Linked DNA regions of Struthio camelus. The protein of the gene in region 1 purifies or fractionates together with the protein of each later gene. This does not show direct contact. Links are inferred from orthologs where the notes say so. Each region holds a gene or a part of one and is shown in the gene's direction. Other genes may lie near its edges. The genes, in order: CUL4A, CDKN1B, GLMN and DCAF11.

The links.
Region 2: the proteins of CUL4A (region 1) and CDKN1B purify together in Homo sapiens (affinity purification with western blotting; 5 studies listed by BioGRID, with this or other methods). This does not show direct contact. The link is inferred for Struthio camelus from reciprocal best matches to the Homo sapiens genes CUL4A and CDKN1B.
Region 3: the proteins of CUL4A (region 1) and GLMN purify together in Homo sapiens (affinity purification with mass spectrometry; 5 studies listed by BioGRID and IntAct, counting the BioPlex papers as one, with this or other methods). This does not show direct contact. The link is inferred for Struthio camelus from reciprocal best matches to the Homo sapiens genes CUL4A and GLMN.
Region 4: the proteins of CUL4A (region 1) and DCAF11 purify together in Homo sapiens (affinity purification with mass spectrometry; 13 studies listed by BioGRID and IntAct, counting the BioPlex papers as one, with this or other methods). This does not show direct contact. The link is inferred for Struthio camelus from reciprocal best matches to the Homo sapiens genes CUL4A and DCAF11.

Annotation. Positions count from the first base shown.
Region 1 is NC_090942.1:156,807,762-156,815,250, reverse strand, and holds the start of CUL4A (cullin-4A), read left to right. Parts: upstream 1-4,473; 5' UTR 4,474-4,558; coding exon 4,559-4,739; intron 4,740-4,831; exon of another isoform or gene 4,832-4,900; coding exon of another isoform or gene 4,901-4,991; intron 4,992-5,336; coding exon 5,337-5,452; intron 5,453-7,489. Other genes in the region: PCID2 (PCI domain-containing protein 2), read right to left, coding at 695-768, 1,351-1,440, 2,857-2,892. UniProt on the Homo sapiens protein: Core component of multiple cullin-RING-based E3 ubiquitin-protein ligase complexes which mediate the ubiquitination of target proteins. As a scaffold protein may contribute to catalysis through positioning of the substrate and the ubiquitin-conjugating enzyme.
Region 2 is NC_090942.1:81,531,038-81,538,695, forward strand, and holds the start of CDKN1B (cyclin-dependent kinase inhibitor 1B), read left to right. Parts: upstream 1-4,642; 5' UTR 4,643-4,966; coding exon 4,967-5,441; intron 5,442-6,003; coding exon 6,004-6,125; 3' UTR 6,126-6,134; intron 6,135-7,525; 3' UTR 7,526-7,658. UniProt on the Homo sapiens protein: Important regulator of cell cycle progression. Inhibits the kinase activity of CDK2 bound to cyclin A, but has little inhibitory activity on CDK2 bound to SPDYA. Involved in G1 arrest. Potent inhibitor of cyclin E- and cyclin A-CDK2 complexes.
Region 3 is NC_090949.1:18,831,887-18,839,549, forward strand, and holds the start of GLMN (glomulin), read left to right. Parts: upstream 1-4,662; 5' UTR 4,663-4,747; intron 4,748-6,326; 5' UTR 6,327-6,335; coding exon 6,336-6,401; intron 6,402-6,886; coding exon 6,887-7,012; intron 7,013-7,663. Other genes in the region: putative RNA polymerase II subunit B1 CTD phosphatase RPAP2, read right to left, coding at 991-1,105, 3,286-3,331, 4,510-4,570.
Region 4 is NC_090970.1:262,884-270,004, reverse strand, and holds the start of DCAF11 (DDB1- and CUL4-associated factor 11), read left to right. Parts: upstream 1-4,106; 5' UTR 4,107-4,120; coding exon 4,121-4,320; intron 4,321-4,562; coding exon 4,563-4,699; intron 4,700-4,824; coding exon 4,825-4,946; intron 4,947-5,038; coding exon 5,039-5,103; intron 5,104-5,199; coding exon 5,200-5,300; intron 5,301-5,378; coding exon 5,379-5,525; intron 5,526-6,062; coding exon 6,063-6,117; intron 6,118-7,121. Other genes in the region: PCK2 (phosphoenolpyruvate carboxykinase [GTP], mitochondrial), read left to right, coding at 467-921. UniProt on the Homo sapiens protein: May function as a substrate receptor for CUL4-DDB1 E3 ubiquitin-protein ligase complex.

The DNA of each region.
Region 1 (7,489 bases):
ATGTAAAAGAAAAACAGAAATATTTTTTAGAAATATTCCTAACACAGTGACACAAGCATTTTAATAGAGCACCGAGTTTGACAGTTGGGGAAAACTGATCTGAGAGATGAACAGGGCCTTATTTCTATAATCTGCACAGTATCAACTGTAATAAGCTAATGCTTACTGACACTGTCACTGAGACTGGCCTAGAAAAAAAAAAAATTCTAAGACTTTGGAAAGTGAGCTAAAAGATAGTGTTAATAAGACAGTGTTAATAAGATAGTGTTAATACTGAATTTTTTCAAATAAAAGCCTTGCAGAATTATTTGACTCTTACAGCTGTCCTAAGAGTAGGTTTAGGATGAATATTTCCTTCCCCTCTCCCCCTCCCCCCCAACATTTCTTTCTCTTCCTTATTTCACTCTGAATTCCTGTGTAACCAGTAAAAAAGAACAAATGAAATAGCAAGCACCAAACCCAAAGCTGTGTCAAGGGCTATATACAGATGACTGTCAGGTGCATAAAGCAAAGTCTATGCACATAAGAAAGAGAAGTTTTTATTTCCTGCAATTCTAGCACTGTTTATAAGAGCAGTAAATGCCAAATGTTCAGATGTAAGCCCTTTAAAATAACCAAGTAAACTCAAGGCTATGCTTCCCCATCCCTACAGCATGCCTCACAAATGACTTGTCCATTCGTGGTCCGCCATTACCTTAAGTGGGCTGCAAACATTTCATCATATGGTGGTTCCAAAACTTGTTGACACTTTTCTTCTGGAGATGGAAGCTAAGTATAAAATAAATATAAAATAAATTAATGAAACATTAAAAGAACAGACATTGCACCAGAAATAGAACATCATAAGGGTATTTTATCATGGCAGTCTTACGCATGCATGCCTTTGCTATCTACCAGAACCTTACATTATGCTAAGACTCACGCTCAGTGCAATGTAACTGCTAGCGTCCACTCTGTCCACAGGACCAGATTAGAGCTAGTCTTAGATAAAAGCCTCTGAAACACTTAGTGCAAGCACTGGATCTTCAGGACCAGGTGATTTGATCTTCATATCCACTCCCACTGTGCCACTTCACTTGCTCATGCAGACGTGGCCACAGGGAGCCTTCAAAACGCCTATCCAGAAAACAATTCAAAACGGAGGACAAAAAGCCATCCAGGAAAAGATGCAGATAGATAGTATACTTGTAAAAGAAAGGGGAGAACAAACCTACAAGGGGAACCTGCTCTGAGGTGTAAAGCAGATTTCTGAGGATTTTACCCCGTGGAAAGAAATCCCAATGGAGAGAGAGGAAAACTGAACACAAAATAAGGCCAAAAACAGATTTTCTCAGGATAACAGAGTCTTACTTGAAGCCTAGGGTTGGCAACATGTGGATGCTTAAATGATACCAATTCCGCACAAAATTGTCCATCTCTGCTGTCGATAGCTTCTTGTACCTACCCAGGAAAACAAACATATTACAGAACACAATCTAGCCACAGCCAGACAACATATTTACATACACCTAAGGAAGCTACCTTGTTATCACTGTTCATGCGTATCAGCACCTTCCCAAATGTAAGTTTTAAAAAGTTTAAAACTGAAGGAATCAATATCGGTACAGTATTGTTAATACTTTTAATTGTTTTAATTACTTTTAATTGTTTTCAAAAAGCTATCAGGAGAGAAGGTGAAGTAAACAGGTTTTTTTTTTTCTGTAGGATACAACCAAATCAGAGAAGCCCAAAAGAAGTTACATAGGTTTCGCATCTTAAGATAGCGGCTGTGAAATAGATTCGAAGTTTTTAAAAATTCCAGTTGGACTTATGAGCACCAAATATATATGTGAACCATTAAAAAAAAAAATCTTTGAGCATTACTGTTTGTGATGCTGCAGATGTAATTTGGTCCTGTCACCAATCAGGACTTGCAAATAGATTTCATATGAACTTATAGTATTTAATAATAAAAAGCCAGTTGCAGAAGATAATATTAATTCTCCTTTACTTGAAAGCAAACAGTCTCTGGAAGAGTGTTAGCAGTTGATTTTATGTTCTCTCCTCAGTTTTGCAGCTTTCCTTGCTGTTTTAGTCTATGAGTTTTTGCCTATGAGTGTTCTGATTTAGTACAGGCTTTTCATATAGTAAAGATATTTTTCCTACCAAGACATTAAAATATGACAAATTAAGCATGGGAATTGGGAAGGGGATTTTAACAACTAATATCTAAAAGTACTTCCACAGCAGATATGGTATGGAGGATGGAGAGGAGAGATCATTGAGACTGTTAACAAGAGAAGATGCTGACTTTTCAGAGCAAATCACTGTTGTGGGAGATCTCAACTGCTTCATTTCTGAGGCTGAACAACAAAAATTACTCACTTTTTCTCTCCTTCACTCAATTAACTTGACTGACCCTAACTCAAGAAAGGAATATGGTAACAGTGATGCAAACGTGATCATTCAAAAAGAAGCAACAAGAATTGTAGAGCTTGACATTGAGGATTCACTCCAGCTGACGATCCTTATGATCCTGTTCCTGCCTCTGCAGCCTCCTGCCACAAACACTTTGTCTCTGCGTTTAAACTGTGTATATTTATTAAATCCCCGCACACATGCGATTCCACCACATTAATTCTTATGGACAAACTGCTTCACCATCCATCATATCAGTAGTCCTCACACTATTCAGGAATACATCCTTGGCAGACAGTTAATGTACTTATCACAACATTAAGAAGTATATTTATTTACCACATTACACATTCTAGGTTGACTTCTTAAACAAGAAAATGCATTTCCAGCCAAAAAAAAAAAAAAACCTCCACATGCCCTTATATTCTGATAGTACCCACAAATAAAAAGCTTGCTTACTTGCTGCAAATACTGATTTATGGTGATATGCGCCATTAAAATAGAAGTAGACGACGCAGGAGTCCCCGATTAAACGCAGTTGTGTCCCATTCTGAAAACCAACAGCAGATTTAGAGAACAACGAAGTGACAAAATCCCAACTAGGTCTCTTCTTTCCCCCTTCGGCAACTCGGTACGACTTTACCCAGTCTTTCAGGACCCGGCACCTGCTGCCGGCCTCTAGGGAAAGGACGCAGCCTCAGGGAAAGCAAAGCAGAGCACAGGCGCGTCCCGCCTGCTGCGCGGAGCTTGTGCGGAGGGGGAAATCGCGCCACCGAAGCGCCGGGAGGGGAGGAAAGCCCCGACGGCCGCACGGACACGCCCGGCTGGACTGCTCTGCTGCCCGCATCCCCCAGCACGTCCCCGCCGGCACCTCCAGCCCTCGCCCTTGCCCCCGGCGGCACCTCCGCCATGCCCGGCCCGGCCCTCCCTCACCGCAGGCCCAGCCTCAAGCCAGGGCGCGGCGCAGCGCGCAACTTCCGGCAACCGCCACGGCGCTTCCGGCACACCGACCGCCTCGCGCGCAGCCCACGTGACACCGCTCCGGCCCTCCGAATGGCGGGGAGGAAGGGATCACGTAACGCCACCCCGGCTCCCGCTGCTCTCAGCGGGACGGCACTTGCCTCTCCTCTTCCCCACCCCCCGAGGGGCGGGAGGCGTGGCTTTCCCCCCGGCGGCCAATGGGGAGGCGAGGTGGGCGGTGCCGAGGCCGCGCGTCAGCGGGTAAACCTCGTGGGGGGCGGAGCCTGCGGGGGGTGCTCGTGGCCATAGGAGCGCGTAGGGGCTGGCGTACTGGTTGGTGTCGGTAACAGGAGCGGTGAAGGGCGGGCGGCCCCGGCTCCTGTTTGCCCTTTTTCTCACAGCGCTTGGTAGAAGGGGTCCATATCCTCCCTCTGCTAGGCACGCAGTCGCGTTTAGCTTCCCGGGTTCGTGTTACCTTTTAGCCTGGGTCCTAGCGATAGCAGAGAGGTGTGTTGTTGGGGAAACGGTCTCCTTCCCCCCCCCCCCCTGCCGCCCGTGGCCTTAGTTTTTCAACGTTTGTTGTCCCTTTCTGGTCGTTAACGGCTGTGCCCTCCAGAGCAACGCTGCCTGCAAGGATGGGCTGTATAAGCGTGGGTCAAAAAAAAAAAAAAAAAAAAAAGCTAAACTGAGCATTAGCTGTTGAAACTGCCTTGCTTTCAGAGCTCCGAAGGCGAGATAACTCGAGGCATGAAAAACAGCCGGTTCCTTAGAAAGCACGGTGCAGCCCTGTGCCAAACGCCACGAAATAAAAGCCAGAGGCAGCGCAGGGAACTGAGGCCCTTCGGAAGGATTACCTGGGCTAACCGACCCCCCGCTACCCCCCGCAGGCCTTCCGCTCCCGGCTCCCCTGCGCGGGCAGAGGGGGGCTGCGCGGCCATGGCGGCGCCCCCCCCCCGCCCGCCGCCGCCGCCGCCCGGCGTGCTCGGGAGCCATCTTGTGAGCGGGGATCGTGCCGCCGCCCCCTGCGAGGGCCGGCCCGGCCCGGCGGCACTTGGCAGCCGCCCGCGGGCAGGGCCGGGAAGCCGGAGCGGTGGGGGAGGAGGAGGAGGAGGAGGAGGAGAGCGGAGGCGGGGACCTAGCCGGCCCCAGCCCAGCCCAGCTCAGCGCCTTGCCCCGGCCGGACACGGCGCCCGGGGCGGAGATGGCGGACGAGCCCCAGAAGAAGCCGCACTTGTCGGCCTTGGTGGGCCACACTAACGGGCTCACCAAGCCCGCCTCGCTCGCCGCCGCCGCCCGCGCCGCAGGAGGAGGAGGAGGAGGTGGCGGCGGCGGCGGCAGCGCGACCGCCTCCTCCAAGAAACTCGTGATCAAGAACTTCAGAGGTGGGTGCGGGGCCCGCGGCGCGGCGCTGCCCCGGGGCGGGCGGGGCCGCGGCAGGTGCCAGGGCCGCTGCCCCCGCCGCCCGGCCCTTTCCCGACCTTTGTTTACTGCGGGCCCGGCCGCCTCCCCGCCCCTTCCCCGCGGCGCCCCGCCGAGGGGCGACATGTCGCCGATAGCGGCGGCGGTGGGGCGGGTGGCGCCGCCTCGGAGCGGACGAGCGTTTCGGGGGCCCGTCAACACCTCGGACGCTTCGGGTGTGTTTTCACAACTTTGGCAGCGACTGTGCCAGCGGCCCTCGGCGGGCAGGGTGGGCGCTTGGGTGCGCGGAGCCCGTGCCCGGGGGGGGGGTGGGTGGGCTGTCCGCCCGCTGCGCCGGCCGCGGGTGCGTGGCCTTGCCCTGCCCTGCCCTGCGCGTGGGGGCGGCCACCTTGTTATTGTTGTTTCACGCTTAAGCGGTCACACAGAAAAAAATTCCTTTGGGGGAAATGAGTAAAGCGCGTTGAGAAAGATTGCTACGGATAGCCGTTCCTTGGCTGGTTAGTTTTCAACTACCTGTATAATTTTTTTTTCTTCTCCCCCCCCCCCCCCCCCCCCCACAGAAAGACCCAAATTACCAGATAATTATACTCAGGACACATGGCAAAAACTTCACGAAGCAGTGGGAGCAATACAGAGCAGCATTTCTATTAAGTACAACCTTGAAGAGCTCTACCAGGTAAGATGCGTAGTGTTTATGGTTATTGTAACAGGCAGAGCGTTAACTGCTTTGGGACTTGGAGAGACCTACAGGTTTAACGTGGTGTGTCTTGATTAGTTAGAAGTGGATTGGATGTCCCGGACTGTTTTCTTGGTATTGTTTCTAGCCCGTTTTCACTGTTGTAGAAAAGTGGCTCTTAGGTCCTGGGAAAACTACCAGGGTCTGAGCTCGTGAAAAAGCAAATTATTTTGGGATACCTGGGAGGCTCCGTCTGGGCAGGGCTGACGTTTTAAGCGTCAGGATACTGAAAATTGGATGTTACCATCGCTTCGTTATGCAGGTGTATAATTTGTGATGATTTCTCTTCCACGTGTGCTTTAGTCTCTAGTGAATACTAAATGTTAAAATATTTGTTAAATGTTAAAATATTGGCTATAATAATAATTAGGCTTCGTCATCAATACATTTTGGGGAATTAAAATTGAGTAGGCAACAAACTATCCCTTCATCTCTGGTTCACATTACTGTTGTATTTTCAAAAGAACTGATGTCTTAAATTTTTGTGTTAAAATGGTGAAAAATTATTGCTGGAACATCTAAACCACGGGATAGGGGATAGGAAGGGTAAAAGAAAGAAATGGGCATGAGCCATTTCTTCCTCACCGTTTTCTCCATTTATGCATGATGTAGTTTTATATTATTGTAAATGTATGTGCTTTGAGATATGCCACTTTAGTACTTTTTTTTTTTACAATAATCGTGTTATCAAAAAACTGCTAATACAATAGGTTGTGCTATGTAGTTGAAGTTAGTTATGAGTTTGTTGTTGGTGCAGATGTTTGATCTGCAGATGTGGATCTCATTGTCAGATCAAGACTTAAGACATCAGTATTGCCATGAAAAATCTTTTAAATGCTCAGCAGAGGTAGGTTTGGAGTTTGGAAAGCATAGACTGTGAGGGAAGAGAAATCCAGTCCACACTGAGGCCATACTCAAAAAGTCAGCATAAATTGGACTCTACGATTAGTTAAGGTATTTAATATATGGGTGTAAAATGGGTGATTAAATAAATCCATATTGTCTTCATATAATTTGGTGCTTTTAAAAGGACCACTTGACCATGATTTCCGCATCTATTATTCCTTACGAGTTTGCAGAGTTTGAATTACATAACATATTTTATGGTTTTAAACTCAGCACGTGAAAAATCCTGCTTTTTCATGCCTGGCAAAAACATGCAGATGCTTTGAATTTTGCCTAACTTGTTTTCAGAAGCTCAGAAATGAGATTATAGTGATATGGGTATGAAATCACTAAGGTATAGACTTGAGTTCTGGCAGAAGAGGAAGAGAGAGATTTCAGATAAACTGCGAAGGGAAAACTCTATTTCTTGCTTTTTCGGCTTGCATGCTCCTTTGCAAAAACTGCACGTTGTAAGGCCAGTATGTCAGGTAGAGGTGCAAACCAGAAAGGTTCTGGTACAGCAGGTAGTGGATGTGAGTGTGTCTTTGCCTATGTACGTACTCTCCTGCCAGAAGAATAAAAGACCAAGTACAGCATCTATTGGAAACCTGATCTGTACTTACAGTTCATTTTTAACAGCTTGATGGTGAGCACAGAGTCCTCAGGGGAATATTTTTGTGTGTGTATCAGTTCTTTTTACTACCAGGGCTTTTTTGTGTGTGCCTTTATCTGACGTTATGAGAGGAAGTGAGAGGCCTACAAGGCTCACGCCAGCCTGCTTTTGAACTTCTTGATTTATCTATCTAATTTGGCATGGTGGCTGAAGAAAGACTGAAGAACAATGATGAGGCTCTCTGGGAAGTCTGAAGGATACTCCTTTCCAAGCATTAGAAGCAGCATGGGATAAAGCATGGAGGTGCTTAGCAGAGATATAGTCAGAGAGCAATCGGAGGGTGATGGGTAATTTTATTTTACTAAAATAGAAATGGTGCCTGGGACTGGTGGTAGTTTGCAAAGATGTTGATAAAGGTAGCTTGTGTTTGATCAGATAGAGAAAGTGAGGCAGTAGGAAGAAATGCCAAGTGAGAAATG
Region 2 (7,658 bases), about 75 Mb from region 1:
GAACAGGCCCCTGCCCGAGTAGAGCCCTCCCCCAGGCCAACCCCATGGCAGCCAGGGCTCCCCCAGCCCCGCTGTTCCCTGGGAGGTTGGCCCAACCCGGCTTACTGGCTCTGGCGTGATCTTTGTCCTTAGGCTCCCTCTAGAGTTTACATCAAATGAGCAAAAGGTCTTAAAACTCCAGTTGGCTTCCACATCTTTTGTCAGTCTGGGGAGTTCAGGTCGGTGGCTGGGCGCTTGCAGCTCTCCTCCTGCCTGGAGCAAGGAGGAGCAGGCAGAGCTGGCAGCAGGATCAGCTAAGCCATTGGGAAACCATGCTCTGTCCCTACAGCAAGCTGAGGAAAGAGGGTTTGGGCTTCTTGTAGCTCCCCTCGTGCATTTTTCTAGTGCTGGTCACTGGTGAATTATATCTGAGAGACTTGGTAGAAGAAAATAGCATAGGCCTGTTTCCTCTGTGACACGCTACTGCTAAACCTAATAGGGTCCTAATTCTGCCAACAAGGGAAGGGTTACTTTTAGGCATGTTAAGAATATCCCTAGTGACCTGTGGTGAGATCTTGGGGTCTGTGCCTTGCATCTCATGATGGCCTCATCCCAAATTCCTTGAGGAAGCTAGCATTTTTCCTGAAATATTGGAGGTGTGAGGAAACAATCAACCCAATAAAAACAGAGGTGGGTCAGAAGCTTCCTCAAGCCTTCAGCTTTTACAGGCTCATTTCATGCCATGCCACCTTCACCCTCAGCTCTAGAAGAAGCATCCTGTGGAGCAGCTCAGGTATTATTCCCAATTTACCTACAATTTGTAAGGGAACATAAAAAATCCCAAACAACCCAAACTCACATCCTTTATGTGTATAGTTTAATGTGCTTTGCTGTTTAGTTAGACAACCTCATTAAGTGTTGGGGAAGGAGGGTGGCCAAAATGAGGCTGGGAAGCTTGCCGAAGCAGTTTGGGAGGAAAACAACATGGAGAAGCTCTGCCAGTGCTAAAGCCCAAATAGGAGAGTGGAGCAGGGTACTGGGAAAAGAGGGGACAGGGTGTTCAGAGACCATTAGCCAGGACATTCCTCGCACAGACCTCCGTATAAACAGTCCTCGTTCCTTCCTAGTCCTCTCCTCCAAGTTTTTTTTTTTTTTCGTGTCTCCCTTTCTCTAATCCTCCATTCCCGATCTTTGCCTCTCCTTCTTCAGCTTAAATGGCAAGAGCGAAAGAGAGAGAGCTAGCAACCTCGAGGGAAGAGCCTGGCTCTCCCCGGGGCTCGGCTCCTCGTCAGTTCTAGGCGGCTGCGCGGCCGCGCAAGGCAGCGCACGGCCCCTGCTCGGGCCGGGCTGCTGTGCCCGGCTTTTGCAAGACGATGGCGCTCTGATATTTCGCGATCTTTACTGCGGGGCTCTATAGTATTTTTTCACGCTTCGCTGCTACTACAGCAGGCGCCTGCCTCTCTCGCTATTTGCTGCAGCCATCGGGGGTGCCTGACTGTAAACAAAACACTTTAGATCATGGCAAGGTCGCTGCAGACACAGCCTTTCTCCTCGCAGCCGCCGCGATTTAAGGTGGACCCGCCGCGGCCGAGCCCTTGCCCGCGGGGGGAGCCAAGTGCCGCGCCGGGGCCGCGCAACCTCGTGTCCGCCCTGCTATTTTTGCGTCTTTTTTACCCCCCCCTTCCCTCTCCCCCTGTCACTACGCTCATTTATCCCAGCGCGACCCGAGTGTGCCGCAGCCCCGGGCCGGGGAGCAGCGTTTTGCGGGGGCCGCGATAGCTGCAGAGGGGCCGCTGCAGGCTCAGGTGCGGCCCCCCCGGCCCGCCCCGGACCCCCCTTCTACTGCCCGGGGAGGCGCCGCGGGCCCCCCCGGCCCACCTGCCTCCTCCGCGGCCACCGGCCTCGGGGCCCCCCTCCGCCGTGGCCGCGCGCGGAGATTTAAAAGAAGAAGTGATGGCATAAGCCAGATGCAGACCACTCCTACTTCGTTTTGCTTTCACTGCCATCAGTGGCTCCATTGATTTTCCCCCCCCCCGTTTTTTTAGTTACTGGTTTTAATTATCCAGGTACATTTACTACTCTAGCATCTGGGGGCTCAGTCTTAGGTCCTGGTGCTAGGGGCGGTACAAGCAGAACCAAAAAGAAGGTACTTGCTCTAAAGCTCTGCTTTTTCAAAAGCTATAGATAAATCAGTGCTCCTTTCTGCTGTAGTCACCTTCCTGTTTGCTCACCTGTGGCACACGCAATCTTTTTCCCAATGCTCGCCCCCCATTATTTTTGTTTTGGTGGAGGTTTGTACCCAGGTGCGGTGTCGTTCATCCTACCAAGGGGCTTGCCTCTCTGAGTTACTGTTTGTGGACTTCTGGAGCCCTCATGGACTCAGGAATCGTACACTGGCTCCCAAGCAGCCAGGGAGCAGGGACTGGGAATTTCTCAGCTAAGAAGTTACTGGTCAGACCTTCAGCAGATTATCAGCAGGCTTTGCCGCATGAAGGCCCCATCAGCACTATGAGCCCTGGGCATCTTCAGGGGAGCCCCAGGACATATTTTGCATATTGCTTTCTTAGTGTTTGGCTCTTTTGTTTAATCATAGCAAAGCAAGTGTCCTACACCTGGCAGAGAAAGTGAAGAAAAGTTTGAAATCACACTTCCGTGCTGGTAACTATGAAAGTCAAAGACAGGAAAAGCCTGGAGAAAGGAAGAAAAAATCCTTTAAATAAAGCAGACGAATAGGCCCCACTTTGCCAGCTCAGGGAGTTTTATCAGAGAGTTGAAACTCAAGAAAACTCTTAAGCTCCTGCAGACATGAGAATGTCAGCTTTAATTTTCTGCAAGTGAATTGCTAGAACTTGTGGTTGCTGAGAGAAGTTGGAAAACAACTTCTGAGTGCTAAAAAAACCGAGCAAACAGATAGAAATAACATGGCTAATATTTTATTTCAACCTTGTGGGTTTTAAAACAATCTCATTTTGTATTCTTCTTGTTTTAGCTGCACACATCATTTTTTGAACTTGGAGGTGGCAATACTGAGATTACCCTGGAGAGAGTGGGCTGAGCAAAGGCCAGGGGGCTGCTACCTCCGGGTTGCTGCAGGCCAGCAGACTGCTTTGCCCAGGGCTTGAGTTCTGTATAACTGTTATGTTCCCTCTCCCAGTGTTTGCAGAGTTTAGCTCGTCACTTCACAAGAGCAATTGCAGTCAAAGTTTCAGTGGCCCTTCAGGACTGTAGACCCCAAAGCACTATGTGTATGTGTTCAGCACAGGGTAAAAACCTCAATGTCTTCAAGGCCAAATCAGTTGACCCTGTTCTCTCAGCCAGTTACACCTAGTTGTACTGACTTCCACCTCGTTGAAATAGTTTGTCACAGCTGCAGTCCCAGCTTTGGAGAAGGTTGGCCTGCCTGCAGAGAAGAAATGGGCAGACGGATTGGTGTGAAGAGCCTCCATGCTCCCAAACTGGACCCGGGTCCCCGGAGAGGTCAAGGCCTTTAGCAGTAGGCGGCAGCATCCTGGGGGTGTGCTGGCTCCAGAGTACCTGCAGTGTCCTGCGACATGCCCTGCTGCTGTCCATGGGGCCGCTCTGCCTGGTGATGGGAGATGGCTGAGGAAGGGGCGGGAGATAAGCAGGGTAGAGCAGAGGACACTATGTGCCTCTTATCTCCACCATACCTGCTGCAGCTAGCTGAGGAAGTAGCTTAGAAAATCCCTGGCTGTGATTCTTGGCTCATCTAATCTTCAGAGCACACAAACAGGACGAAAACTAATGCTTTTGTTTTCTTTTCCCGGCTTGCCGAGTTCTGAAATCCCAGCAGAGGTTTTTAGAGCCGTTTTTTCACCTAGTCCTCTCTCTGTCGGGAGGACAGCAAGAGGTTATCTTTCCCGCCCTCGCGCCTTCCCCTCAGAGCCACCAGCCTGACTCTGCAGCGGGCTGGGTCAGGGTGCTGGCGGGTCAGGGTGCTGACAGGGAGAGGTGCCCGTCCTCTCGGCACGCCCCGGGGGAACGAGCCCCCTGCTAGCCCCGGGCCTGCCTGAACTCCCGACCTGGGGTGCTGCAGCGCAGGAGCCCAGTCCCGGGAAAAGCAGCGATGGGCCATTTCTGTCGCAAGAACGGGTCAAAATGTAACTAGCCGCCACCATTTCTCACTTCAGCCCTTTCAGCCAAGCGACGGGATTATTTTTTTTTGGGGGGGGGGGGAGGCGGAGGGGAGCACAGGCTCAGCCCAGCCCGGCCCTTGCAGAGGGGGGCGGCGGCTGTGCGGCCCCAGCGGGCTCGGGGCGAGCGGCGCCTTGGCACAGCGCTCGCCTCCCTCGCGGTCCTGCCCGCTCCGTCCCCTCTGCCCCCTCCCTGCGGCCGGGCGCGGGGGGCGGCAGCCCCGCCGGGGCCACCTTTAGAGCCGGCGGCGGCGGCGAGGTAGGGCCGCGCCGACGGGGCGGCGCCCGCCGCCGTAACCAATGGCTCGGCTCCGCTGTTTAAATAGACTCGTCCTGTCAATCATTTTCTTCTTCGTCAGCCTCCCTTCAATCGCCATATTGGGCAACTGAGAAAAGGGCTCGTCTCCGCTTGTTTTTTTCCGTCTCGCCCTTACTACGCGGCCGCGGGGAGAGCGGCGAGGCGCGCGGGCGCGGCGGGGCATCGGCGGGCAGCGCGGAGCCGCCGGCCGGGCCGCGGAGGGCAGCGCCGCTCGCAGCCTGCGCGCTCGCCCGCGCAGCGCCTGACCCGCCCGGGCTCGGCGGCGGCGGCGGCGGCCGTCGGGGCTCTCCCCTCGCCCCGGCCCGGCGCTTATGCGATTGTTTGCCGTCGCCTCTTCTCCGCGGTCCCGAGGAGGTGCCGGAGAGCGGGGCAGCGCGGCGAGGAGGAGCGGAAGAAAAGCTTTCACCGCGGAGAAATAAAAGGCAGAGAGGAGGAGGAGGAGGAGGAGGAGGAGGGGTGGGGGGAGAGCAGCGAGAAAAACAACCGCCGCCAGAAGAAAAGAGGGTTGTGGGGGGAGATGTCAAACGTACGCATTTCTAATGGGAGCCCTACCCTGGAGCGCATGGAGGCCAGGCAGTCGGAGTACCCGAAGCCTTCAGCTTGCAGGAACCTCTTCGGGCCGGTGAACCACGAAGAGTTAAACAGGGACTTGAAGAAGCACTGCAAGGAGATGGAGGAGGCATGCCAGAGGAAGTGGAATTTCGATTTCCAGAATCACAAGCCCCTGGAAGGCAGGTACGAGTGGCAAGCCGTGGAGAAGGGGAGCTCGCCCGACTTCTACTTCAGGCCCCCGAGGCTACTCAAAGCCGTCTGCAAGTCCGCCGGCCACCAGAGCTTGGATGTAAACGGGAATTGCCAGACCGTGATTTTTGTTGGTTCTCAGGGAATCTCAGAGGACACTCACTGTGTAGATCAAAAGACTGATGTTTCTGAAAATCAGACGGACTTTGCAGAGCAGTGCACTGGGCAGAGGAAAAGACCTGCCACTGACGGTAACGTACCCTTGCGAAAGCCGTGCGGGCCCCGATGGTGTCAGCGCCGGGGCTCTCGACCCCTTCGCCCGCACCATACGCGTCCTTGCTCCGGGGGGGCTCTGCCCCGCCGGGCACCGTTTTAGGTGCCCCACAACCCCCAGCCTCCTTTCGCCTTAAAAAGCCCAGGTGCTGTTTTTAAGTCCCAGGAGCGTCCGACGTGCAATGGGAGCCGGTGGGTGATTTGCAAGCAAAAGCCCTTATACACTAGTAACACCCTCTGCGGGAACCCGGCTCCCTCCGAGCAGAGGAGCAGCACCAGGGGTTTCATAACGCCCGTGTGAAGCAAAGGACGGACAGGGATTTTAGATAAAAACAGGAAGCTTGTCTCTTTTACCTAGGGAGGAGCCCTTCTCTCCTCCCCCTGCTCTCCTTCACTTAATCGATAGTAGACATGGGGAGCCGGCAATGTTCCCTCCCCGGCCCCATCTACCCCTCCGGATGCCGAGCAAAATTTGGCAGGAAAATATTTTAATATCACTGTTCCCCCCCACCACCCTTGTTTTTAATTTTCCCCTCCTAGATTCCTCTCCTCAAAATAAAAGAGCCAACACAACAGAAGAAGAGGTTTCAGAAGACTCCCCCAGTGCAAGTTCAGTGGAGCAAACACCCAAGAAATCAAGCCCAAGAAGACATCAAACGTAAACTGTTTAGGTAGGTTCCCACTAGGACCTGGCGTTAGGATGCCAGTTAGGCAAAGAAAGGGAAACCGAGGGCGGTATATATCCTGCCACTATAGGGAGGCTTCAGGCCACTCCAGGCTGGCTGATGAGGCGTTTCTCCTCCGAAACTTTACAGACCGCGTACTTTTTCCCCTAACGCTTTTTGCCTGGGTGTGTGGGGGTGGGACGTTTCTTTGAAAGGAACAAAACGAGCGCGCAGCCCCGCGGGCGGAGCGGCGGCCCGAGGCGCGGGGGGCCGCGGGGCTGCGCCGCCCGGTGCCGCCGCCCGGTGCCGCCGCCGCCGCCTCTTCGCATTTCGCTCCCTCGGATAAGGGAGGCTCCTCTCCCAAAGGCTGCCGGGCCTGCGCCGGGGCGGGGGGACGGGAGTTTCAAACGCGACGGTTTTATCATGTCAGGTGACAAAGGGGGTTGGGGGGGAGCTTCCCCCTCCCGCCTTGATGCCTTTGCACGTAGTTTACAATGTCAGCATTGTCTTCGCACGGAGCAGCCGACTTCCACCTCGGGAGGGCTGAGTAAATAAGTTGGATGGAACGGGAACGGGGGCATTTTCTTTAAATGCGAGCTAGACAACCTTTTTTTTTTTTTTGTTTCCGGTTGTTTTGGTTTGGGTTCAGACGCTGGCAGAAGGGTGCGTTTACGGGGAAGGGAGTGGGTTAATGGGAGCTGGGTCTTTTTTGTTGTTGTTGTTTTGTTTTAACGTGAGGGCTGGGGCGGAGGGAGTTGGTAAATTCTGCCGGCGGTTTCAGAGTGGAGGTTAGAAGAAAGGTTTACAAACGCGATTTGCGATTGTGCTGGAGAGATTAAGCTGTAAAGCAGAAGTTGCAACAAATTAGTCCTGCTGGGGTGAGCGGTGGCAGAGCACGTCAGCATGCGTGTCTATGCAAATGCTGCTACTACCGCCCGTTTGTTTGGGTGGGGGAAGCTGCTCGGCGGCAGGCCGGCGGAAAAGGGGTTAAACCTGGCCGAGAGGAGGGTTCTCGCATTATTTATTTTTACTCCAGCGGCACAAAATGCGTTTGTGTCCCGAAAGATGAGGAAACGCAAGCGCGGCGCTTCGGGCCCGCTCGCCCAGGGCCTGCAAAGCGGCCGCCCCGCCGGGGGAGCGCGGGCCGGCAGCGGCGGGCGCCGGCGCGGCCGCAGCCCAGACGGGGCGCACGGCCCGTGGCGGGGGGGAGGCGGCCGCGGGGCGCCCCCGGGGCCTCCTGTGCGGCCCGGGCTGCGCTGTGCTGTGCTGCGCTCCCCGCCCCGCGGAGCCCTGGCGGCCTGAACCAGTTGCGCCTGCCCGGCGGCCGCCGAGGAAAAGCATCACGTTTCTTTTCGACGTTTCTAATGTCTTCTCCTCCCGTCTCCTTCCCGTTGCAGAGTTCGGAATTTGCGTTTCCTTGTTCATCGGATGCCTCGGGGGTCTGTGAAGCGAGGAAAGTGTAAACTTGTAGTAAAAATGAAAATACATATCGTCGATCTCCATGGGATGGAGATCCTGTACAAGCACTGA
Region 3 (7,663 bases), on another chromosome or scaffold:
TCCTCTTCTTCTCTGCACAGTCCCAAAACACTTGGAAGTCTTTTGTGCCGCCTCCCCCAATTACAGTCACAAAAATGCCCTCATGCAGAATTATATACTGGGCTACGGCATTCATATCAGGGAAGGACTTAACTAACTTAAGCCTGCTCCTAAACTTATTGAGCTTGGTGAGGAAAGTTTCATCTAAACCATTTACTTTGTAGAAACAGCTTTCAGTATGATGACTTGCTTTTTTGTTATTATTATTAGAAAGAAAACATTTTACGGAATCATTTTCCGCTAACTACAGTATCAAGTAAAAGTAATGGCAGTTATACTGTTAGGCATGTTCACAAAACTGCTGAAAAGCTCCACATTAATTCCCACTGCACAACACAGTCATCCTGAGCTTGATCTCTCAGCTTTGGCCAGATGAAACTATCCTGTATTTGGCCTGGGCCATGCAACTAATTCTGGACTTGATTTCACCATATGTGGTCACCTTTCTCCTACTGCAGCAGGAGCTCCCACTCTATGTACCGTTTCCAATTTGGTCATGGAAAACTTAGCTAGGAAACCCACATGTACCAGAACTGTAACATGTTCCTGCAGTGCTTCGCTTCAGGTAACTGCAGCAGGAATAATCCTCACACAACGCCAGCAAAACAGTGCTGCCAGATAAACTTTGGGGCAAAGAGCAGCATTGTAGAAACTTTCTCTAAATCCACAGAGGAGGTGATCCGGAGCTACCGTTTTAATATTTCACCCATCAGTCAGGAGCTCAAGAGGCATAAATGAAGGCTGTGGTAATAAAGTGAGTATATACACATAAGTGTATACAGTCCTTGAAAACTAGGGCATATTTTCTCTGCAAAACCCCTGAAAATACGGCAATCGTCCTCAGATCTGAAGAGATTTGTCTACTTTAAACTGCAGAAAACAGCTCCAAGAACTTTTTAAAAAAATTCTAACGCTAAGATACAAAATGGTATAAAAACTTGCAACACTTACAGAATTCACAAGGAACTCTTCAGTGATGTTCTCTTCCAGCAGCTGTTCAACAGTATACAGTGCTTTTTTTTCAAATTCAATCTTCTTTCTAATAGCAGCCTCCAGGGCTGCTTTCCTTTAACAGAACAAACACTGGATGACAGAGAGAGCAGACTCCCATGAACAATTTACCCAGTCTTCTCTATCTCTTTTTTCTGAAATATAGCAGCTTATATTTTTCTGCATTTCACCATGGTGGCCTAACAAAGCAACAAGTAATTGGACTAGGAATTTTCTAATAATCACAGGCCACCAAACAAGTTTCCAAACTTTGTTTACTTTTCTCTTCCCCTCAGTCAGAAAAGCATTGACTCTTATTGGCAAAACACCACAGAAGAAAAAAGTAAAAGCTTCAAGAGGGAGAAGAACCTCCTGTCTGGTAAGTAAATACATTGCTGCCACAAGATAACTAACTATATCAGTAGGTTTGTTGTGCCTGTGACACTTAAAAAAACAAAAACAGAGAGCTCTGCAAGAAGAGACAGTAATTTTTGTTAGACCAAAAGATATAATGGGGAAAAAAGCAATCATCTTTTGCACACACAGAAACCCTAGTTTAGGACTACTCTATCACCCCAAACCAGTTCTCCCAACAGAGGAGGCTCAAAAGTGTAAGAACTCAAAAGGCAGGGGTACGCTTTTTACTACATAAGCATGTAAGAGTCTAACTATACAATGGAATTACACGTTCTGCCACAAGAACTGCAGTTTTGCTTGCACTCATTGGTCATACGTTCCATTATATCCTTCCAGGTGGCTGCAATGAGACTCCACTATGTATTACATTTTCTTGATATACCCGGATTTTGGTCTTTGCTGAATTTTATTCTCCTGCTCTGAACTACGGTGATTAAACACCAGCAGCCCAAGTGACAGAACAGAGATTTCCCTTTGTAGTTCTTCCTCTCACCAGAAAAAAACCCCTCTCCTGCCACTTGCATCGGCACTAAGATTCTGAACGTTTTGGGCAGCATTTACTGCTCATGTAGCCACTTGTTTCCTGCTCTGGAACAGGTGACATGCTGTCCCACCCAGGTTAAAGGAAGAAGGTATGAGCCCATAGGTAAAACAAGGACAACCATTTAATCTTCATTTCTGAAAAGACTGGAGGTTAAACACGTTTCATTTTTCTTTCTGGTCAAGCTATTCTCCTGGAGCTTGGCCTAAGTACTATCAAGTCTAGGATGACAAATCTGAGACTTAAGATCCGCATGAAGTTAGTGCGCAGTTCAAGTCTGCCATTCAGATGGGTAATAAACGCTATGTAAACCAAATCTCTGGCACTTGGAAGGGGCAAACCAGACCAAGTTGCTCAGGCTGACATTTCTGAGTCATTGTGTGAGCCAGCTACATGCTCATCCAACAAGAAGATGTCAGCTCCTCCCCCACACCTGTACAGCACATAATATCTGTCCTGCAGCTTTTAGCCCTGTTAAGATTTAATATACAGCTCTGGACTCAAAAGTTGGCTATAATCATTCTAAAGAATACCGGGTTCATGTTCAGCAAATGCTCAATAAGAGATGGAAGAGATGTATCTGTTTTTCCAAGGGTCATTTGAGAATCCCCCAGAGAGGATAGGAACTGGTTTCTCAAGTAGGATCTTAAAGAGTTAAGACACTCCGAAATCAGTGTTTCAAGATTTAGATAAAGAGTTGAGAAAATAAGATAGAAATCTAATTATTAGCAGTACAGTCTGAAATCCAACAACAATGTCTTTTGACTTAAGTCAGCTATTATTACTTTACCAGAAGTATTACTTTTAAAAAAGCCAACTATAAAACCTGACTCTTCTTAAAAGGAGGGGAAGCCCAGAACGGGCTGGACCAAAAGCCTGGGACAAACATCTATGGATTGACAGGAGAGGCGTCAAGTACAGGAAAGAAAAAGGACTAGGACAAGACTGAGCGTGAGGGTACAAAAGAAAAGAAGGAATAAATCAAAGGGTTTCAAGGGGAAAAAAATGATAATACCACCCTCTACAGCTACTATCACTCACTACCTTGTCTAGTGCTTTAAGTAGGGAAGTGGTGTTTTATCTTGTAAGTGTTTGAATGAGGTATCTCTATATTAAGGTATGTAGTTAAAAGTTATGCAGCATCATTGAAAACAGGTTAGCATGATCTGTATACTGGCTTATTTCCTTAAGTTAGCTATGGTATTTTGAGAAAGAAAAAGAAAAAAGTGAAATGGAGAATATAATCAAAATGAAGCAAAACAATGAGATCGCTATGTACTACTAGTTAGAAATCGTACCTCTGAGCAGCATCTTCATTCTTCAGAGCAGCTGAATGCTTATTTCCTAGAAATCAAATAGATAAATCAGTATACCTTCTTCCTTTAAAATGCATTTTAAGCCGTGAACAAACGGAACTGTCATGTTTCCATGCTCAGCCACCGTGCAAATAGTTCGATCCAGGAAAACATTACAAACTCCAAACTGTAACCATAATCAAGGCAGTTGCTTAGGCGCTTGGTTTTTGGTGGCTGCGCCTAGCTACCGTAAGCTGGTAATCCACTCAGCAACTAGTTAGACGCAATCTTTGTACGCGAGCGGACAGACAGGCCTAACGCTGTTCTCTCGTGTGACAGGCTCTGCATAACGAGCAAGCGAGAGGAAAACGGCTTCTGTCTGAGCTGAGAAACGCAGCTCTCCCCCTGCGGCCACACCGCTGGGAAGCGATACCCTTTTTTCACCCTCCCCTCACTCTGGCCGCGGGCAGGGGCTGCCTTCGGCCACGCAGGCCCCCCGCCCGGCCCCCCGCCCGGCGACAGGCCGCGGCCTCCGGCACGGCACCGCCGACGCAGCGGGGCTCTGCCTGCGCCAACCCCGCTCTCCTGCGCCCGCCCAGGCAGCCCCTCCGTGCCAACACACCTGACGTCTCCCGCACTTAAGAGGAGACGCGGCGTCCCCCCGCCGGAGCCCCGTCCTCCCTGCCACCGCCCATCTCCTTCGTGCATACGCCACTTTTTTTTTTTTTAAAAACATGAAGCCATTTTCAGTACTTTCTGGGCAGTCAATACTGTCCAGGCAAACACGGAGCAGCAGGGCGGAAACAAAACAGACTGATAAGCTTCACACGTGTATTTTCAGGGGCTTTGATCAGCTGTGAAATGCGGCGCGTTTGACGCCCGGCGCCGGCGCCGCCCACCGCGGCAGAAGCGGGGCCCGCAGCCCCAGGAGGAGGCGGCGGCGGCGGCGGCGCCGCACCGCTGCCCGCCCCTCCCCAGCCCCACCGAGCTCACGGCAACCTCTAGAGCCCCCTCCAGCCCCGCGGGCACCGCCGGAAGGGCGGGAGCCGCGCCGGGAGGTGTTCCAACCGTTGTCGCCGCACAGGCAACAGCAGAGACCCCGGGAACCCGCAGGCCTCCTCTCCTCCTGTGCCGCGAGTTGGGTCATTCCGCCGGAGCGGCCTCAGGGCACAGGGAGAGCCCACGGCGCCGCACGGGGGGGGGAGAGGGGCGGCACGCGGAGCCTACCTGCGCGCCGCCGGCTCGCTTTCCCCTTCGCGACGCCCTGCGGCTTCGCGGCCGCCATCATCGCTGCCGCCGCGCTCCCTCCCTCTGACCTCTGACCGGGAGGCGGAGCCGGGCCGCGGCCGCGAGCGGGGAGAGGCGGCGGCGGCGGCCGGGCGGGCCGGGCCGGGCCGGGCCGGAGCGGCGGGAGGCGGTGGCGGTGGCGGCGCGGAGGGGCCGCAGCCCGGCGGCCGCGGCTGAGGTGAGCGGGCGGCGGCGTGGTGCGCGTTTCGTTCAGCCTGGCGGGCGCGGGCGGCAGCCGCCTCGCGTTGGCCTGCGTGCCGTCGCCCAGCGAGGGAAGGGGCTGAAAACAACTGGATGTTACCAGTGAGGGGGCAGTTCGCTTGAGAATTGGTAGCGGACAGTTCTTCGTGATTCAGGTGTCGTTGGCTACTGAAACCACTGAAAAGACTTAATTCGGAAGTGGATTAAGTGTTAAGACCTGAACTGGCTCTGGGCTCAGCTGGCAAATCCCTGGCAGCTCAGGGCATGCCTCAAGGCTGTCAATGCATTATAAAGTTACTGAGGGCTGAAAATGCAGGGCTATTAACGTTCAAAAGTATCTTTACATTGTTTGGGGGGAATTAGTAAGATCCTGTAAAATTAAGAGCTGAAGTAGTGCAGTGAATGCTAACAAAGTGTATGATAATCACAAAATTAAAATGACAGGCCCGATGCATTGCTACATTGGAGTGAAGTAGAAATGTTAAAATAGGCAATTTAGAACAGAAAGTAAGTTATTTATTCTTTCAGTAATAAAATTCACATACGGGTGCTTTATAGGTTATAGTGAGTTGACTGATTTTTGTAAATATCTGAATAGCTTAGATGCGTAGGTATTGCGTTAGCTAAGGTCAAACTTAAGGGGAAAGATGGAGAACCGTACATGGAGATGGCCGTATAGATACGGAGCTTGGATATTTTCGTGAGAGTTAGCTGTTCACTCAAGGGCAGAGGCAAGTGACTTGTGCATACAGTCACAGTGGTTATGTAACCATATTTATGCACGTGGAATTAACGTAAAGCATAAAGAAAGAATGTGACTACCGCTATGATATATCACGTGAGAAAACTGAACTTGACTTTATTTGTAAGTCATGGCCCTGACCAGGTAGAACTTGATATGCACTTAATTTTACTCAAATGTTTAACTTAACTGCTTTCAGCAACAGCAGTTGTAGTGTCTAGAGGTAAAAGGCCACTGAACCAGCAGTAGAAAGAAGTAAATGATACTGCACATGTAATCTTTATGAGACTAAAACGGTGTTGATATAAACTGGCACGGTGGTTGGATCAGCTATGCACATCCCAGGCATCATCTAATTAGAGCCTTCTAGTCAGATCTAAGCAGAGAGCTCATCTGATTAGCATATTCAGAGCAAATGTAGCGTAGCGGGGACATCCGCACCTGGTACGCAGCAAGTCCAGACTTGCTCTGCAGTAGTTGCAGTTCTCAATGTAGGTGTTCATGTAGTAGCCAAAGCCTGCTGACAAATTTTTAAGATACCTCTGATAACATTTGAAAAATTACTCCCCTGTACGCAATGTAGGCTGCTTCCTGTCTAAAATAGTATCTCCTGCAAGTACAGGAGGTAGAATAATATAGCATACACTCCTTAAAGATGCTTTTCTCCTATCTTTCTATAATTCAGTCTTCGTAATATGTTTGTCTTGAGTCTTCTCATTTCTCTATTCAGCGTTCTTTTGACAATGTGATTATTTTTCAACCTCTGTTTTTACTTTGGGTGGTTTAGTATTGCACTCTTTTTAATTTATTACAGAAATTTTAAATGCCAGAAGAACAAAGTCAAACTATAATGGCAGTTGATGAACTTCAAGCCATAATACAGAGATGCGTAAGTACTTTTCATAACAGTTGTAGGCGAAAGCAGAGTAAGTTTGTCTTTATACACTGTAATTAAAAGCAAAATGACCCTAAAAGCAGGACGGTTGTTAGCAGAACTCCTCATTGGGCAGCTAGGTTTAGCCTTCATGCTTCATTGCCTTCTCTTTGGTGCTTATCCCAAGATGCTTGGTAACTTCTGCCTCTTGGAGGAAGATATGTTCTTGTTTCACTCAGCAGTAGCTGTGTGAAGGAACAAAACGCTAGCAGATTGTTGCAGAAAATGCATCTCCCAAGTAACATGCTGTTGTCTAGACTTGGAAAATACTATTGAAATACTGCTTTCTCTTCTGTAGTGGCTCTCAGTAATTATTTTTAGTATATAAAAGATGATATGCAAGAAAAGACATTCCATTTGACTTTGCAATGAAAGCTTGGGTTTGCTTATTTTTTGTCTTTTATAAAATACAGAGTCAAACATGCGTATTTTCTTTCTAGCAAATTCTGGAAGAAGCTGATTTCAGGGGAGAAGATTTTAATCTGTTTCAGGTAGCAGGCCAGAAGTGTTTAGAAGATGGATATGCAGCTCAGTTATTAGAAGTAGTTCAAAATGAGAAAAATAAGGTAAGTTTAGATTTATGTTACGTCTTAGCTGTGTGCTAAACACACCATTAATAGTTAAAGCTGCATATGAGGTGGGAAAGCTACTTTCACTATGGAGTAAGGGTGCACATATGAATAGTTAATCAGTTGGTCTGTGTGAAGTGCACATTCTAGTGTAATTTGAGTTACTATGACTTGTGTACTCAAGTCACAGTAATCTTAACAAAGCTATTAACAGCTGTTTTCCTGTGAGTTAAGCAGAAGGGAGAAGAGAGGCCAACCTCATAACGAACAGAAAGTGACAGTGGCCCTCTGTGGCAGGAGAGAGAATTTCAGATGGCTATAACAGCATTGGCCAAAACCGTAAGAGCAAACAGCTAAGCTGATGCTAATGGAAGAGAAATTGTGTGTATGCGCTTTGAGGGGCTGGGAGAACGTACTTACGTTGAATATAGATAAAGAGGAAGTCTGAAAGGAAGGGAGGGATGGAATGTTTTGGCAATATTGCTCGAGTCTGATTATGATCTCTGTGATCATCTTCAGTAGCAACTGAAGGTCTTCAAAGAATGGGTTTTCCCGTGGACAAAATATTGTCCAACAATAATTTCTTTAAATTTTCTTTCCTTGATTTGTCTATTCAAAAACCAGCAAAAAATCTCCTATTTGAAACGT
Region 4 (7,121 bases), on another chromosome or scaffold:
GTGGCCCCAGTGTCTCCAGTGAGCCCCCATCTCTGTCCCCAGTGAACCCCTATCCCTGTCCCCAGTGTCTCCAGTGCTCCCTTTCCCTGTCCCCAGTGGCCCCAGTATCCCCAGTGCCCCCTATCCCTGTCCCCACAGGTCTTGGTGCCCCTATGACCCTGACTCTGACATCCCCAGTGCCCCCCAACCCTGTCCCCAGTGTTCCCAGTGCCCCCCAGCTCTGTCCCCAGTGCTCCTATAACACTGACCCCAATGTCCCCAGTGTTCCCAGTGCCCCGAACCCTGTCCCCAGTGCTCCCAGTACCCCCCTAACCCTGACCACAGCGACCCCGTAACTCCGATCCCACTATCCCCAGTGCCCCCCAACCCTGATCCCAGTGCCCCCAGTGCCCCCCAACCCTGACCCCAGTGCCCCCACCACGAGGCCCCGCCCCCCGCTGACCGGCCCCGCCCCCCCCCGACCCAGGGAAGCGCCTGATGCACGACCCCTTCGCCATGCGGCCCTTCTTCGGCTACAACGCGGGCCAGTACCTGGCGCACTGGCTGGCGGTGGGCGAGCGGGCGGGCGCCCGCCTGCCCCGCATCTTCCACGTCAACTGGTTCCTGCGCGACGGCGCCGGGCGCTTCGTGTGGCCGGGCTTCGGCCACAACGCCCGCGTCCTGGCCTGGGTGTGCCGCCGGGTGGACGGCGAGCCCAGCGCCCGACCCACGCCCGTGGGGCTGGTGCCCCAACCCGGCGCCCTCGACCTGGCCGGCTTGCCCGGCGTCACCTACGCCGACCTCTTCCCCATGGACCGGCCCTTCTGGGAGCGCGAGGCCCGCGACCTGCGCCGCTACTTCGACGAGCAGTTCGGCTCCGACCTGCCCAAGGAGGTGCTGGGCGAGCTGGAGGCCCTCGAGGAGCGCCTCAAGAAGATGTGACCGCCCGCCCGCCGCCGAACGCTGGCCGGCGCCTTCGCGGACCTTTCTTCGTGCTCCCTTGGCCGACGCCTTCGCTGCTGGCTCTTCGCGAGCCGTTGGCCGCCGTCTTCGCTGACCAATCACCGCGTCCCCCTCAATCTCCGCCTTCGTTGCTCGGTCTCCGGGACCTGCTGGCGAGCTTCTTCATTGACCGATCGCCCCGTCCGTTTGCCCTCCATCTTGGTTGCTCGGTCTCTGGAACGTGATGGTCGCCGTCTTTGTTGACCGATCAGCACGTCCTCTCAGCCACCGTCTTCGTTGACCAATCACCGCGCCCCCTCGGTCTCCGTCTTTGTTGCTCAGTCTCCGGGACCTGCTGGCCGCCATCTTCATTGACCAGTCGCCATGTCCCCTTGGCCTCCATCTTGGTCGCTCGATCCCCGGGACCTGCTGGCCACCATCTTTGTTGACCAATTACTATGCTCTGTTCAGCCTCCATCTTTGTTGCTCGGTCTCCATGACCTGCTGGTCTCCATGTTTGTTGACCAATCATGACATCTCTTTAGCTACCGTCTTCATTGACCAATCAGCGCATTGTTTTGAGTGCCGTCTTCGTTGAGCAATCACTGCATCCCCTCAGCTGCCATCTTGGTTGCTCAGTGTCCGGGACCTGCTGGCCACCATCATCTTGAGCAATCACCGCGTCCCCTTGGCCGCCATCTTTGTTGCTCGGTGTCCATGACCTGTTGGCCTCCACCTTCGTTGACCAATCACTGCGTCCCCTTGGCCACCATCCTGGTTGCTTGGTCTCCATGACCTGCTGGCCTCCACCTTCGTTGACCAATCACCGCCTTGCCTTGGCCACCATTTCTGTTGCTTGAGCTCCATGACCTGGCCTCCACCTTCGTTGACCAATCACTGCATCCCATTGGCCTCCACCTTCGTTGACCAATCGCCCTGTCCCCTTGGCCACCATCCTGATTGCTTGGTCTCCATGACCTGCTGGCCTCCACCTTCGTTGACTAATCACTGCATCCCGTTGGCCTCCACCTTCGTTGACCAATCACCGCCTTGCGTTGGCCACCATCTTTGTTGCTTGGTCTCCATGACCTGCTGGCCTCCATCTTTGTTGACCAATCGCCACGCCCCCTTGGCTTCCACCTTCGTTGACCAATCACTGCGCCCCCTTGGCCACCATCTTTGTTGCTTGGTCTCCATGACCTGCTGGCCGCCATCTTGGTTGACCGTCCTTCGTCCGACCGCCCTGTTGCCCGACGGCTCCGCCCACCGGCCGCCGTCGCCTGCTGACTGATGCCACTGTGACCCCATTGGCCGACGTCTCCGTGGACCCGCGGCCCATTGGCCGACGGCCTCCGGTGGGGGGGGGGAGAAGGGAGGGGGCGGCACCTGGGGGGGCTTGGGCCGGCGCCGCCCCTCGCCTGACCAATCGCCGCGCCCTGTCGGCCCACCACGTCGCCGCACCCCATTGGCCGGAGCCTGCCGCCGCCCGGCCCTTTCCCAGGTGCCTTTGGGGCGGGTGGGGACCAATAAAGGAGCCCTCAGGGGGGCGGAGCCAGGTCTGTGTTGTCCTTGGGGGGGGGGTCAACGGTCAGAGGGGGGAGGAGCTATGGGGCAGGGTCAGAGGGGGAGGAGCTAGGACCAACTCGCCGCGGCCAATCGGCAGCTACTGAGGCTCTGTGGGAGCTGTCAGTCACGCTAGTCCCACCCCCCTCACCCCCCAGCCTATCAGGGAGCATTGTTAGGCTTGCTCCTCCCACCCCAGCTGCTCTCCAGCCAATCGGGGAGAGCGCCTCCCCCTCCACGTCCCACCCTCCCTGTCAATCATCTGCCCTGCCAGCCAATCAGCACCTGCCTCGCCAGGCAACGGGGGGGGGGGGAGGGAGAGGCAGGAGGCGGCGCTTATCAGCTCCCGGCCAATCAGAGCCTGCTGTGGGGGGGGCGGGGTTGAGGGGGGACGGCAGCCAATGAGCTGGCTGGGGGCTCCCCCCCCCCGTGGGGGGGTGGTGGCAGCCAATCAGGGCGCAGCGCCTAGGCTCCGCCCCTCCCCGGAGCCTCCGCTCTGGCTGCGTAAACAAGTTGCTGCGGCCACCAGGTGAGGGGGGGGCGCCGCCGGTTGGGGGGGGGGGCGCCTCGGAGCGGCTCCTGATTGGTTGCCGGCGGGGAGGGGGAGCGCCCTGATTGGTGGAGCAGGCCCCCCCCAACCCGGGGCGGCCGTTGCTGGGGGCGCCGGCGGGGTCCCCACCTTTTGGGGGGGGGGGTAGAGCATGCGTGTCCCCCCCCCCCTCACGGCACAGAGGGTCCCCATTGGCTGGCTGTCCCCGTCCCCGCCCTCTGATTGGCTGGCAGCGGGGCACCGCTGTGCCCCCCCCTCGCGCCTCCCCCCCCCCCACATTGAGCTGGGCGACCCCGGGGCTCCGATTGGCCGATACTGGGAGTGACACTGGGGGGGGGGGGGCCGCCCCTCTCCCGGGCCCGTTGCCGGGGGATACCGGGGTCAGCCGGTCGCCGCGGGAGACCGGGGGTAGGCCGGTTGCCGGGGGTCGTGGGGGTGTCAGGCAGTGGCAGGGTGGTCACGGGGGGGGGGAGGGGAACAACCCGGTCGCTGGGGGTAACCGGTGTCAGTCCGGTCGCCAGGGTAACTGGGGGGGGCACCCGGTCACCGGGGTAACTGGGGGGCAGCCTGGTCGCTGGGGTAACTGGTGTCAGTCCGGTCGCCGGGGTAACTGGGGGGCACCCGGTCGCCGGGGTAACTGGGGGGCAGCCTGGTCGCTGGGGTAACTGGTGTCAGTCCGGTCGCCGGGGTAACTGGGGGGCACCCGGTCACCGGGGTAACTGGTGTCAGTCCGGTCGCCGGGGTAACTGGGGGGCAGCCTGGTCGCTGGGGTAACTGGGGGGCAGCCTGGTCGCTGGGGTTAACTGGTGTCAGTCCGGTCGTCGGGGTAACTGGGGGGCAGTTCAGTCGCCGGGGGTAACCGATGTCAGCCCGGTCACCGGGGTAACCAGGGGGCAGTTCGGTCGCCGGGGGTAACCGATGTCAGCCCGGTCGCCGGGGTAACCGGGGGGGCAGTCCGGTCGCCGGGGGTAACCGATGTCAGCCCGGTCGCCGGGGTAACCGGGGGGGCAGTTCGGTCGCCGGGGGTAACCGATGTCAGCCCGGTCGCCGGGGTAACCGGGGGGCCCCGCAGGCGGGACGCCGCAGATGGGCTCGCACAGCAGCAGCGGCGGCGGCGGCGGCGCGGGGGGCGGGCGGGAGGCGGGGGGGCCGCGGCGGCCCCGGGGCCGGCAGCCGCCGCCGCCCCCCCCCGCCGAGGAGCGGGAGAACGAGGAGGAGGAGGAGGAGGAGGAGGACGAGGAAGGAGACATCGACCTGGTGCAAGTGGTGGCCTACCTCCTGCGCAGGTAGGCGCCCCCGGCGGGTGCCCCGGGGCATCGTGGGATACGGGGGTGAGGGGGGGAATGTCCCAGGGCATTGTGGGAGACTGGGGGGGGGAATTGGGGGCGGCCCCAGGGGATTGTGGGAAGGGGGGGGACCCCCAGGGCGCCGCGGGGGGCGGGGGGGGGGAGGACGAGGGGGGCGGCTCTGCTCGTCCCCGAATGTCCCCTAACGCCCCCCCTCTGTCCCCCCCCCCACCGTCGCACAGCCGGCGGGTGCGGCTGGTGCAAGACCCGCAGGCGGCGCGGGACCTCTCCGACGACGAGGAGGAGGATGAGGAGGAAGACGAGGAAGACGCCGAGAGCGCTTGGGAGGGCCGCCCGGGCGACCGCTACGTCCCGCCAGGTAAGCCGGACGCCTGGGCCCCTTGGCATGCGGCGGTGGGGGGGGGGGTGGGAGCAGGGGGGGCAGCGTCTCCCCCCACCCACCCACCCGCCCGCCCGCCGCCGCCGTTAACGGAGCGCTGGCAGCGGGCGCCGGCCCGGACCCGCGGGCGCTGGACGGCCACGAGCTGAAGGCGCAGCTGCAGCTGGCCGAGGGGCGCGTGGGGCCGGGGCCCACGGAGCAGAGCTTCCCCCGGCTCCTGCGGCAGGTAGGGAGCTGGGGGGGGGGGCCGGGAGGGGGGGGGAGGAGGGTCGCGCCCGGACGCCTGGGCCCCTCACGGCGCCCTCTCGCCTCTCGCAGCGGGAATGGGGCCGGTGTCGCAACGGCAGCTTCTCCTGCGGGGAGAAATCCCGCGTCAGCTCGCAGTGAGTAACCGCGGGGTGACGGGGTCGGTTGGGGGGGGACGCGCGGCGGTTGGCCTTGCTCCGCTTGACGCCCCCCCCCCCCCCACTCGGCTACAGCTTCCTGCCCAACCACGTGAGCTTCGCCGAGTGTTACGCGCAGAAAGCCTTCTGCGGCGTCTACTCCGACGACGGCAAGCTGTTCGTGTCCGCCTGCCAGGGTGAGCGGGGCGGCGACCCGCGGGAGGGGGCGGGGGGGGGGGGTCTGTACAGGCGCTGACGGCTGTGCCCCGCCGCAGACCACACGCTGCGGCTGTACGAGTGCCGGGGCGACGAGCTGCGGCTGTTGCGGGCGGCGCGGGGCCGCGACGTGGGCTGGAGCATCCTGGACGTGGCCTTCAGCCCCGACGCCACCCAGTGCCTCTACTCCAGCTGGTCCAACTACAGTGAGTCGGGGTGGGGGGGGGGAGCTTGGGGGGCGGGGCTTGGGCCAGGGGGCGGGGCCTGAAGCCTGGGGGCGGGGCCTGAAGCCTGGGGGTGGGGCTTGAACCCCTTGCCAGGACCTAATGCAGTACTTGCTAGTCGAGCAAGTGGGTTGGGGGTGGGATATGAGCCTGGGGGGTGGGGTTGAGCCTGGGGGTGTGGCTTAGTGTCAGGGGGTGTGGCTTGGGGCGGGGTCTGGCCTATGGGGTGGAGCCTGAGTCCCTCAGCAGCACCCAGCTTCTCTTCTGTCCTAGTCTGGCTGCAGGGAGTGAGCTTGGGGGGCGGGGCCTGAGCTCAGGGGGTGGGGCCTGATCCCAAGGGAGGTGGGGCCAGGCTGTGGGGGTGTGGCCTGAGCCAGGGGGTGGGGCTGGGGGAAGCCCCCCCACCCCCGGCAGGGCTAGCTGTGGGGGGGGGGGAACAGGAGTGGGGCCTGTGAGGCTCCTCCTCCCAGGGGGTGTGGCTGATGTGGCCCCTCCCCCTCTGCCTGTGACCCCGCCCAGTCCACGTGTATGACATCTACGGGGACGGGGACAACCACACCGCCCTGGATCTCAGGTGGGGCTGGGGGCAGGTTGGGGGGGCGCTATGGGGCGGATAGGGGGGGCCAATGGGTCAGGTTAGGGGCTGCATGGGGCAGGTTAGGGGCTCTATAGGGCACATTAGGGGTCTGTGGGGCAGGTTGGGGGCTCTGTGGGGCAGCTGGGGGGTCTGTGGGGCAGGTTGGGGGCTCTATGGGGCAGCTAGGGGGTCTGTGGGGCAGGTTGGGGGCTCTGTGGGGCAGCTGGGGGGTCTGTGGGGCAGGTTAGGGGCTCTATGGGGCAGCTAGGGGGTCTGTGGGGCAGGTTGGGGGCTCTGTGGGGCAGCTGGGGGGTCTGTGGGGCAGGTTAGGGGCTCTATGGGGCAGCTAGGGGGTCTGTGGGGCAGGTTGGGGGCTCTGTGGGGCAGCTGGGGGGTCTGTGGGGCAGGTTGGGGGCTCTATGGGGCAGCTGGGGGGTCTGTGGGGCAGGTTAGGGGCTCTATGGGGCAGTTAGGGGGTCTGTGGGGCAGGTTAGGGGCTCTATGGGGCAGTTAGGGGGTCTGTGGGGCAGGTTAGGGGCTCTATGGGGCAGCTGGGGGGGTCTGTGGGGCAGGTTAGGGGCTCTATGGGGCAGCTGGGGGGTCTGTGGGGCAGGTTAGGGGCTCTATGGGGCAGCTGGGGTGCTGTGGGGCGGCACGGCGGGCGCTGTGGGGCGGCGCCGTGGGTCACGGGGGGCCGCGGGGCGCAGGCCGGAGGAGCGGCGCTTCGCCGCGTTCTCGCTGGCGGTGGCGGCCGACGGGCGGGAGGGGCCGGGGGGCGGAGCCGTGGGGGGCCGGCGGGCCGCCGTGGGTCGGCGCCGTGGGTCACGGGGGGCCGCGGGGCGCAGGCCGGAGGAGCGGCGCTTCGCCGTGTTCTCGCTGGCGGTGGCGGCCGACGGGCGGGAGGGGCCGGGGGGCGGAGCCGTGGGGGGCCGGCGGGCCGCCGTGGGGCGGCGCCGTGGGTCACGGGGGGCCGCGTGGCGCAGGCCGGAGGAGCGGCGCTT